Linked DNA regions of Arabidopsis thaliana. The protein of the gene in region 1 purifies or fractionates together with the protein of each later gene. This does not show direct contact. Each region holds a gene or a part of one and is shown on either strand. Other genes may lie near its edges.

Region 1 (7,855 bases):
CATTAGGTTTTCAGTACCAAATAAAATTCATTAAGAAAAAAGATTATTAGAAGAGCGATGGTAATAACCTCATGAAAATTTGAATATATTGGTTCTGCTTCATTGGGGCCAAAGTTTTCATCAACATCACCGGATTGACCCTCATAATCAAAAGAAGTTCCAAAGTTCTCATATCCTTCATCATCGTCGGCATAGCTAGCATCATTACCATGTGAAATATCAAATGACTCGGTCGTCTGCTGACCACAAGAAAACGTGTCAGATGGTCTTTGGTTCTCTTCATCAAATTGATTGATTATAGCCCGAAGAGATGGTACAATCTCATCCTTCTTTCGCATGTTTAGCACCATTTGCTCCACACATTCTACAAATTTAACCACAACATCAGAGAAAGCATAATGCAATAAAACATGTACAATGGTAGAGCGAGGCATATCAGCCAGTAAAGCCAGACCTTTAACAAAGGATAGATCAATTGTTTCTGATTTGTCATGCTTATTTGCAGACGAAACAAGCTTTCCAGGGATTTCTTGTGAATCAAATAGAACTTGACACCCTCCATAGACTCCTAAATTGTTTAGCAGCAGGCCCTTTGCTCCACCTTCATCAAACTGTGCTGAAGTCTGATGATAAAGGGGATCCACTGCAAATGCCACTGGAAAGAAAAAAGAAAGATAAATTATTGTCGTACATAACTTACTTTCACAAACGAACAAAGGGAGTTACGTTAAGTTAAGCAAATACCATCAAATTTCTTCACGTTAAGGGCATCAAAGGAAGGTTCCAGTGTTGATAAAGGCGATATCTGAAAGTTCGAAACACATCAGTAAATAGTCTCATCTATTAAATCCAGAATTAGATTTTGTGTATGAACTACCTTTTTCTCTGGCTGCTTCTTTTGGTTAGTTGCATTTTCTACGGCACCAGCAGCATCCTCGTGATCTAGTTCATGAAAGAAATATCAGAAAAGAATATAAGAACTTTTTTTACTTTAGTACCTACGTTAGAAATTAGAGCTAAAGAAAGAAATTCAATGCATTGCATAGCCCTCTTCAGAGATTTTAAATTCTCGTGTAGAAGTCAAAACAATAAGAAAAGTATTCATCTGTTTACCTAATGAGTTTCAAGACTAGTTTGGCAAACCATATTAACAAAAATGAGTGAATAAATATCTCCACAAATAGATAAAGCTACATGTTGTCTGTTGAAGTTTACCCTGACAGTTATAACCAAGTACTAAAGATAAGATAGTTTCTTGTGTGTAAGGTTATTAATCTAACCTCCACCGTCATCATGGCCAGCTCGGGTAATTCCACCCAAGACCTTGTATGCCTCTGAATGAACAGAGTCTACCCGCATTGAGTAAATCTTAACTCCAGCTTCAAGAGTGCAACTTGCCTGACTTGGACGAACACATATGTCTTAAATATGATTCTGAACTCTTGTTTTTCCTTTCAGTTTTATGTTTTTGTGTATTCTCAAACGTCTTAACAGCATTTTAAAAAAGCCAAAGAAGAATGAAATCGAAAGCTTACCTTTTGAAAATTTGTTTCTGTATTGTTCTCATCTTCAACTTTGATAATCTCACAAAGATGGTCGATCAAATTCAACTCCCATGTATTCTTTTGATTGATTTTCTGTTTAACACAAAACCCACATAACATAAATTAAATTGCAAAGCTAAACAAAGATTATAGTGATTAAAAAGCTACTTGTAAATCTCATCAGAAGCATATTTACCCAAGACCAAGGTCAAAGACAAGGACTTTTAGCCACGAATTTTCCTTTTTCACTTGCTATAATTATGGGGGAAAAAAAGACAGAAGAAAGTAGTTGCTTACGTTTTCACTGGCTAATTTGATACAGTTCTGAAACAACTCGAGAATTTGCTGTTTGTCGAAACAAGGATCAGACTCCGTCTCAGGCTGAGACCCACGAGCGAAAATGACAGACCTACGACGGCTAGCAGCGGCTCTTGCGGCTCGAGCTTGTTCCCGTTCCAATCTGTCATCGTTAGATCCCAAGAAGAAGGGACTCGTCGGAGCCTGGATTCGAGTCGTCGTTGAAGCTGGCTTTTGCTTAGGGTTTGGAGTTAAGGATTCATCCATGACAGAACTTCTCCGCTTGTATAAACTCAATGAGAGAAAATGCGTTTGTTGGGTTCACCGGAGCTTTGTGGATCCGAGAAAATTCAAAATAATTTGGGAATTAGGGATTTTAATATTTTGATTTTCCCTCTTCTTTACCCTTTTGAATTTCAGAGACACTGATGAGAATGTGTAAATACATGATTACCCCCGTCGAAAGGTGAGTGACGTGGTATACTCCACTTTGATCATCGTTAGAAATAATTTAAATATGAAATATCCATGGCCGGTCATAGGACTGATAGATTGGGTTAAGACTTGGTTAAGAGTTAACCGATATATAACAAATGAATTTTGTTTCGCCAACGCTAATTGTACTATTAACGGAAAACAATCTTGTCAAAATGGTACATACGAGAAGCAGATAGAAGAAACTCAAAGAAGGTATCTAGAGAGCTAATACATCCGTAGAGATCACAGCTTTGAGAATCCATGTCAAAACAGATTTGTTTTTCAGTCAAAGAGCAAGTCTCTCTTAGTAAACCATGATCAGAGTACTGTGTTTTTAAACTGCTTCGCTGGATTCTCTTTCACATGTTAGGATGTCCGAAACCTCCAGCTGGTGGCATGGGCCTAAAACCATTGTTAGCCATTGGAGGTGGTGGCGGTGGGAATAAACCAGATGGAGGTGGTGGTGGCGGTTGAGCTTGATGAGGCGGGGGTGGTGGTGGCGGTGGAAGACCATTTGCTCCAACAGCTGACTGAGGCTTGTTTGGTTCTGGCTTGGTAGGCTTGAAATACACCTGCAGCTGTTTTATTACATTCTTTGTCAGTATTTTGATTAATCCAAACACAAAACTTATCCAATCTCGGAAAAGAAACTAAGCTTATGGCTTTATGAGAATTATGATGAGAAGCACTTACTGTAAACATCTTGGAGTCTGGATCCCAGTGAGAGAAAAACTTTGGGGTTGATTTATCAACCTCTGTGCTAGGAACCTGAAACCAATGCGAAAACACAACCATCAATATCAGTAAACAATTCGACCAAGATATGTTGGGCTACTAGAGCTATAATCCCAGATGACTTGTAGAATGTAAATGTCACGAATAAAAGAAAAAAAAAACACATACCTTGAAAGCTATGATTTCATATGGTTCGGCTGCAAATAGAAGGTATTGATAGCTCTTGTCATAAGGTTGAACTTTCTGCACACAAAAAAAAAGGAAGAAAACTATTCAGTATGAAGGAAAAGAAAGAGTTTATGAGATACATAGACAAGGAGTTGTAACACTCACCTGCTCATAAGATGACATGAAACGATGTCTTGGCTTTATGTTGTCCTCTATCTCAGGATATTCAATCTGTAAAACATTGTTTGAGGAGTAAACAGACACAGTGAGATTTTACTCTGGCTAAGTCTCTAATGATGATCATTGAAGTTCAACAATAACAATTAGATGCTTACCTGGAACAGAAGAGATCTTTGTTGCAGCTCGGGATCATACTGTTTTGTAACCCGGTACCCTGGTCTACCAATTTTAACTGCAAGACCATACATAAAATGGAGTTATTAATAAACCCTTTAAAGCAATCAATTAAGTAAAATCTATGTACTCAATAGCAAAGATATACAATTTTGCTATTACTTCTAGACAATCACTTTCCCATTATATCCAATTCCAGGCCTAGGCAGATTTGATATCAACAATGGGAATAAAGCTGTATTATAATTATAGAAAATAAAACAACTTATTACCTGTTCTGCGAACTGAGACATTGCGCTTGAGTGGCTGCGGCTTAGTAGGAGCATCCTTAGCCTCTCGAGCAGCTCTCTTTGCCAAGTTTGTCTGATGCCTCTTACCTTGAGTATGTGCCAAGTAGTTTCCTTCATTGTTATGCAGTGTTAGACATAGTTTACACTCATAGCTGCACAACATAAAAACACACCAAAAATCAAATTAGTGGCATGAGGGGAAAATTAAAAAAAAGAACCTAATTCTAGAAACAACAGCCAAACAAACTCAAGAGCTATCACACATATGAATAATCAAACTCAAAACGGAGCAAAAATGTAGATGAAGTTGGTAAAATCACAGTATTCATAAATCTCAGGTTGATCATCCAACAATTGAATCTGCTACTTACTCGTGCAACAAAGCATACATAAATACAGTAACATACCTTCCAAGATGATTTCGCATGAAATACGGATCTTTAGCAAGGTCTATGGTTTCAAGAGCAAGACGACGGAGACGCTCACGGCGATCTATGGCCTCGTTTTGGCCGGAGGCGGCGCCGCCACTACCAGGCTTGGAACCCCATTCTCTATCCATAGCTGCTACTAGGATCTCCTTTCACGCTAACTAATCCCCAATCGGTCCTTCTATGCTCTCTTGTGCTGCTCTCTCGATTGCTGGAAAATTTTGACAATTGCTGAGATTTTTCTTATGACTTATGAAGATTGGGGAAAAAAAGCACAGATGGGGGAGATTGGGTGGTTTATCAGAGACCCTAATGTGGGTTGGGTTTCGAATAAGATGAGACAGTTTAAGGCCCAATATCAGCCCATCAATGTGTTAAAGAGAAAATAACGTCATCAGGTTTTATTTCATACATGATTCATTATAATGATAAACTGATTAAATTAAAATCCTAGATAGACAGACAATTTCTGCTTTCACTTATTGGAATTTATAATCAAGCTAAATCACTACTTGATAATATAATAAGAATGATATAAATTACTTTAAAATTATTATTAATTATCAAATAAATGCGTGTAACTAATTTCATTGCTTTAAAACATGAACATCAATGTCTTACGTTACTTCTTCCACAAGAAACAAGTAAGACTTTGACTTTTTAGGTTTCTTGTTCTCGTGATCTTCACGAAGGTGAAGCTTCCCTGCTTATAGGGAATCATCATTAACTCTTAGCACATTAATTAGGAGTTTCCCACATGCGTATTTATATACAAGCATGAAGCATTCATCGATGTGAAGTTCGAAAACATATCCAAAAACTGCAAGAAAGCTCCTCCCATGGCGGATTCAAGCTTTTCTCTTCCTCCTCTTTGTGAAAGGATCTCATACACGAACTATTTTCTAAGAGCTGTATATCTCACGGTTCTAGGCCTTTTCTTTTCTCTTCTCTTGCACCGAATCCGACATACGAGCGAATACGACAACGTTTGGCTCGTGGCTTTCTTTTGTGAATCTTGTTTCTTCTTGGTATGTCTGCTTATTACTTGCCTAAAATGGAGTCCTGCTGATACTAAACCCTTTCCTGATAGACTTGATGAAAGGTATCATTTTCGTTTTACACATAAATCATATATACAAATATTATTTTTAGCATATATACAATCATTATTGTTATTAACTTTGTATAAAGTCTGAGCTAGTTTGCTACCTAGCCTTAGTTTAATCATCAAGATAATATTCATTTCTATGTTATCTTTTACGTAATTCATTAACCTGGCATATAAAATATTGTAATTTCAGGGTTCATGACCTTCCTTCGGTGGATATGTTCGTGCCCACAGCAGATCCGGTTCGAGAGCCACCGATTATGGTTGTGGACACCGTGCTTTCGCTGTTAGCTGTAAATTATCCGGCAAATAAACTAGCTTGTTATGTGTCGGACGATGGATGCTCACCTCTCACTTATTTCTCTCTCAAGGAAGCTTCTAAGTTCGCCAAGATTTGGGTACCGTTCTGCAAAAAGTACAACACTAGAGTTAGAGCTCCTTCTAGATATTTTCTGAAACCTATAAGCGTCGCAACAGAGGATTATGAATTCAATAGAGACTGGGAAAAGACGAAGGTAAAAAGGGTTTGATTATTTTTTAGGTGTATGACATTTTTATGTTTACAAATAATATTATTGTGCTTATTTACAGATTAAATTCTTGTTTTGAAACAATTGAGATACCTAATAAAGTTGCACATGATCTGAAGATTTGTTCTTAGTCTTTCATCTTATGTATTGAGAAATTTCTTGATGTTTTCTTTTTGTGTAAATACAAAGAGGGAGTACGAGAAGTTGAGGCGGAAAGTGGAAGATGCCACCGGAGATTCTCATATGTTGGATGTAGAAGATGATTTTGAAGCATTCTCAAACACAAAACCAAATGATCATTCAACTCTAGTTAAGGTATTTAAAAAAAATTCCTTAAGTAAAAACAATCAAGTTTCTAACTATAGTTATATACGCACACGTTAATTGTTTTATGTGTATATATGTGAAGGTGGTATGGGAGAACAAGGGAGGTGTAGGAGACGAGAAAGAGATCCCTCATATCATATACATATCAAGAGAGAAAAGACCAAATTATGTTCATAATCAAAAATGTGGAGCCATGAACTTTCTGGTTAATGAATTTTCTTACACATCTCTCTCTTTTTCTTCTTATTTTTTTCTGAAGTTTCACATCTTATATAGTGTATTTTTTTTTTTTGTTGTACCGAAAATGTGATAAGCATATGATATGATGAATTTGAACAGGCAAGAGTGTCAGGGTTGATGACAAACGCACCATACATCTTGAACGTGGATTGCGACATGTATGCCAATGATGCAGATGTAGTCCGACAAGCAATGTGTATACTTCTGCAAGAATCATTAAATATGAAACATTGTGCTTTTGTTCAATTCCGTCAAGAATTCTATGATTCAAGCACCGAGCTAATAGTCGTCCTACAATCAGTGTGATTTCTTCTTTTAAATTTTGTTTATCTATAATTCTAATCAATACATTGTTATTTATGATATGTCGTTTTCTTTGCTAAATTTAGCATTTGGGACGAGGAATCGCGGGAATCCAAGGACCGATATATATAGGATCAGGATGCGTCCACACGAGAAGAGTTATGTATGGTTTATCTCCAGACGATTTCGAAGTTGATGGAAGTCTTTCTTCAGTTGCTACAAGTAAGTCTTTCATAAAAATCTTCAAAGCGTTATTTAAAACATTTTTTTATTGACCCTTGCTGTTGCTATCAAGGGGAGTTTTTGGTTAAGGATAGTTTAGCGAGAAGATTTGGTAATTCTAAAGAGATGATGAAATCAGTGGTTGATGCAATACAAAGAAATCCAAATCCACAAAATATACTTACAAACTCCATAGAAGCGGCTCGAGAAGTGGGACATTGTCAGTACGAGTACCAAACCAGCTGGGGAAACACCGTATAATTCACTTTTCAGTTTAACCAAATAATATTATATTGTTTCGAAAAATTCTATAATATTGAAAGTTATGCAGATCGGCTGGTTATATGATTCAGTGGCGGAAGATTTAAACACGAGTATCGGAATACATTCGAGAGGTTGGACTAGCTCATACATTTCTCCGGATACACCTGCATTTCTTGGATCTATGCCGGCAGGAGTACCCGAGGCGTTACTCCAGCAGCGTCGATGGGCGACAGGATGGATCGAAATCCTTTTCAACAAGCAAAGTCCGTTGCGAGGATTGTTTAGCAAGAAAATAAGATTCCGACAACGATTAGCTTATCTTTGCATTATCACCTGTCTAAGGTCAATCCCTGAGCTTATTTATTGTCTCCTTCCTGCTTATTGCCTACTCCACAACTCTACCTTATTCCCCAAGGTGACTCTCTCTCTGACACTCATAATAAGGTTTAAAGTTCTGTTTTGGTTTAAATGAAGTTCAATTTACTTTCATAAAATTAATTTTGAAGGAAATTTTTAATGTTTTATTATTATTATTTGTGTGTGTGTATGTAGGGACTTTATTTAGGCA
Region 2 (4,070 bases), on another chromosome or scaffold:
ATGGATTAAGGATGCTCTTTATAGACATGAAAATATCATGGATGATTTTATTAAATGTGAAAATGTTATTATGATCTTTACTACATGATTGTTCAACAGATATTTTGAGATAAAGTTGAAGAGAAGAGCATTTGTTTGTTTGCTATTTTATGCAATATTAACAGTTGTCCTAGAAAAAGCATTTGATATCACTTCATACTTTAACCATGTATATACAGTTTCCCTACATCTCCATTATTTATTCATTTGAGTATGAAAATGGAAACTTGACTATTCAGTTTCACGAAAACAAAACAAAACAAAAACAAACGAAATTTCGACAGGGTTTATATTGGCACAAGGTTATTTTATTTGTTTTAGCCTTAGACATAAAAATATCTCATCTCGACTCACCACACATGGGACGAGACAGAAATTGGTTAAATCGCAGCAAATTTCATGAATTTCAAAACTATCTTTGAAGTAAAACTTTGTTTTACCATCTCAAGGAAACAAATAAGGTTTGGTACCAAAAACTCTAGAGTATCCCTCAAACACGTAAATCTTAAGCGAGAGTAAGAGTATTTAGAATATCTAATAACACGTCCTTGTTCAATGTAACTCTGATTGAAAAGCTTTTCCCTGCGTTCTCACCACCAAGACAGTGTTAAGATTTCACCTGCTCCCACGTTGTAATGTGCAAGCGACGTGTTGTCCTTTAAGAATCCGGCTTTTCCACGTAACTTCTGTTTGTTTGTAGGAAATTGGATCTCGCCAGATATTTTCTCCTTCAAACTTGCCACGTTTTCCGATAGCGACTGCACTGTGATCTTAACGACTTTCCAATCATCGGGGTCTGGAACAGAAACCATGATCGTTGAGGAACCCTGCAAATGTATGTTACTCCTAATTAGATACAGAGTACAGAGTCAAGTCAGAGGGGAAAAAATAACCGGATGTTGAGCAAGAAACTGGTCTTCTGGAACAAGGACAGACTCGTCAAACTCTGGTTCCTCAGATTCCCCCCCAAGCGGAGGCATACGAGGCTGCAGCTTTGTTAGTATGTTCTTGATCGCTGAAGGGTGTTGAAGTAGTGGCAAATCTTCGTCCTTGATGTCAGCAAAGCAGCCATCAGGACCCACAAAAGCATACAAAGCACCAAACAGAGTACAAGCCTTTGCCGCTCCCTCCTTGTGGGTCAACTCCCGCTTTTCATTTTGACGACGAAGATGGTAGAAAAAAGCCTTACTAACAATCGCCATACGAGAACTAGTCAGCTTTTCGGATCGCTTTAGTCCTTCCGAAGCCACAACAGAAAGCCGATTGAAATAATCGAACTTGCTGTCAGCTGGCTTCAAAAACTCAAACTGAGGTTTGTTATCCACTTCCTTGATCAAATCCAACCAAAATTCCTCCCCGTACCGACCCACAATCTGCGCTGTGAGAAAAATAGTATCAACATCCTCTATAGTATATCCTTCAGGGAGAACATAATCTGGGAACTTGGGAGCCGGATCGCTTAAAAGAAAAGGCCGGCGATAGTGTTGTGCATCACCTTTAAGGGTAGCTGGAGCTTCAGGTTCCTGAGCTCCTTCATCTTGATTCTTAGCAAGGTATTCACTAACCTTGTGCTTGTAATATGCGTGATAAGGATCTGACTTCTTCAGAAAGTCGAATTTAGAGGGAATCTAACTAACGTTCATGATCTTTCTCTCTATCCTCAACCCTTTCCGGGCAACCACACGTGCTATTTTATCCATATGAATTCTCATCTCTCGAGGTGGTTCAGCCGGAGCTTCATTTGAATTGTCTTTCTCCAACTGCAAATCATTCTGCAAGGAGTGGACATTTTTTTTTACAGGAATATATATATATATATATATAATAAACATTAAAGTCAGATTCGTAGATAAATTCTGAAAAAACACCATGAATATCAAATCATATGAAACATCAAAATCAGATTCTCCGAATTTCATTTGACCTAAAATTATTGGCTTATGCAATCTCCACCAACAAGGCAGCTATAATAACGCGGAGAAAGAGATCGACAGGAAAAAGAAGAGGAACTGGCGACGCTAATGACTACTTAAGGTTTCGGTGAGAGATAAGAAGGCAACGTACCTCAACCGGGAACGCATAGCCCTACCGCGAGAACCACCGGGACGTGAGGTCGAGAAAAGCGGAGAACGAACGACTTCGACAATCTGAAGCTTGTAACACAAGGATATAAATTGAGTGTCCGGCGTATCCGGCGAGAGTGTACCCACCATTTATAGAATGATCAACCAAACATAACGAAAAGGCATATCTATATATAAATAAACCACATTTTAATAAATTGAGTTTAAGTCCAACCCATCACAGACAAAATACAAGACATTTGGTCTATATCCGGTTAGATTGCCTTGTTTAGAAACCCAAACTCACAACTCTCTGATTCTACCAACACCCTGCCTGCCAAAGCCAAAAGTTAGCATTTGTAGAGTTTTATCTTGGCACAAGTTGATTTTATTTGTTATAGACTCGACATAAAATATCTCATCTCGACTCCGTATATGATATGGGATGAGACCGAAATTGGTTAGAGAATATTGAAGCCAAAGCATACAAGACCACAAAATTGAGAATCTTCTTGACAATCTACACTTTCTCTTTTTATCTTTCACTACTCTCTCTGTTAGCTTCTAAAAGTATAGATTAAGCTACTGCTTAACTCTCTCTCTACTCAAACTGTATGACGTAAATGTCATAGCTTAGCTTGTATTATTACCTCTTTTAATTGAATGCCTTTTAACAAAAAAAAAGACCACAAAATAGGTTTTGATATCTTAAATTGCAACATAGATCATGAATTTCAAAACTATCTTCTATGTGTAGCCTTGTTATACCATTTCAAGGAAAAAAAGGTTTTGGCTTAGTACCAAAAGTGGCCCTCAAGCAAGCATTTTTGGAGGAATGATTGAATACAATTGGGATTTCATAAAGTAGATTAAGAAACCGAGATGAGTTATTGTCGCTTCAGAGTGGGAAGCAAGCAGTCATAAACCGTTACTAGTCGTTGTGTCACTGTTAGCTTGTATGATGTTTGCTGCTGTGGCCTTCCTAACTCGATCAGATCTTGTTTCACTCTGTTATTAAAAAAACACATCAGTCAGTTCAAGCACACATATAACCACTTTAACAAATAAAGGACTTGTGGTAAACTGAAAGCTGATGGCGCAGCCTCAGTTTAATTAATTGTTTTCAGCTAATTGATGGGATCAGAGTAAAAACTTACAAATCCCACTCGTCGGTTGCTCTTGCAGGTTTCTCAACAACTCGGTACAAACGTTCAAGGCTGTATATTAGCAAACCAAATACAGTTTCTGCGTCCTTATCCTGTTAACAGCATCAAGAAACGACCAGAAACGTTTTCACAGGATTCTTACAGAACCCATTTGCAAAATAATAATGATTTAAGATAAAGGGGGAAAAGGAGAATAGTGGATATCATACACGTCCTTGTTCAATGTAGCTCTGATACTGCATAATTCTCTTTTCAATTTCAACGACAAGTAGTCTCCTGTGAATACGAGCAATTCTTCCTCGTCCTTGAGCTTTGCTATCCTGATTCATACCAATGAAATGAAACTGAATAAAGATAACAGAGCTGCATTAACTGTACACAGTTAGTCTTAAACTATAAAAAATGGATCAAATATATCTATTTCTGTCACATTTGGTTTTCCTTTTATTATCACTCCTTACCTTTTTAAGCCAGGTCCGAAGCACTGTAAGCATAACAATGCTGAGAAAGAATGCAGGTAATGCAGCCAGAATGGCAAAGTTTATTTCATTTGCACGGAGTATCTGATCCAGTTCAAGCATCGCTCTGCAGAAGAAGATTATTCAGTTTTATACAAAATGAGTAAGAGATCTACTCTAGTTAACTGAGAGCTACTGAATTAATGAACTTACGTTTCTATATCCAGTTTAAGCTTTTGGACCTGGAAGATAGAAAAATTCTGATGTAATTAGAGTTTCACAAACCATAAACTATAGCTTCATGCCAAGAACTTAGATTACCTGAATAAGCAAACCACGGGCAA

Evidence for each region. The genes of interacting proteins can lie anywhere in the genome.
Region 2: the proteins of AT2G32600 (region 1) and AT5G12280 fractionate together in Arabidopsis thaliana (co-fractionation; one large-scale study listed by BioGRID). This does not show direct contact.

The regions. Positions count from the first base shown.
Region 1 is NC_003071.7:13,831,102-13,838,956, forward strand, and holds AT2G32600 (hydroxyproline-rich glycoprotein family protein), read right to left. Parts: upstream 4,658-7,855; 5' UTR 4,425-4,657; coding exon 4,273-4,424; intron 4,018-4,272; coding exon 3,848-4,017; intron 3,634-3,847; coding exon 3,557-3,633; intron 3,453-3,556; coding exon 3,387-3,452; intron 3,297-3,386; coding exon 3,222-3,296; intron 3,087-3,221; coding exon 3,012-3,086; intron 2,897-3,011; coding exon 2,678-2,896; 3' UTR 2,444-2,677; downstream 1-2,443. Other genes in the region: EMB2795 (condensin complex subunit), read right to left, coding at 69-364, 455-655, 745-805, 878-942, 1,281-1,398, 1,536-1,637, 1,842-2,108; CSLB01 (cellulose synthase-like B1), read left to right, coding at 5,133-5,395, 5,595-5,916, 6,121-6,246, 6,341-6,463, 6,598-6,798, 6,888-7,023, 7,097-7,278, 7,355-7,702 and 1 more.
Region 2 is NC_003076.8:3,971,385-3,975,454, forward strand, and holds AT5G12280 (SWAP (Suppressor-of-White-APricot)/surp RNA-binding domain-containing protein), read right to left. Parts: upstream 2,253-4,070; coding exon 2,104-2,252; intron 1,987-2,103; coding exon 1,908-1,986; intron 1,812-1,907; exon of another isoform or gene 1,800-1,811; coding exon 1,677-1,799; exon of another isoform or gene 1,605-1,676; coding exon 933-1,604; coding exon of another isoform or gene 909-932; exon of another isoform or gene 867-908; coding exon 630-866; downstream 1-629. Other genes in the region: DGS1 (dgd1 suppressor 1), read right to left, coding at 2,990-3,110, 3,260-3,360, 3,478-3,588, 3,730-3,853, 3,940-3,968, 4,048-4,070.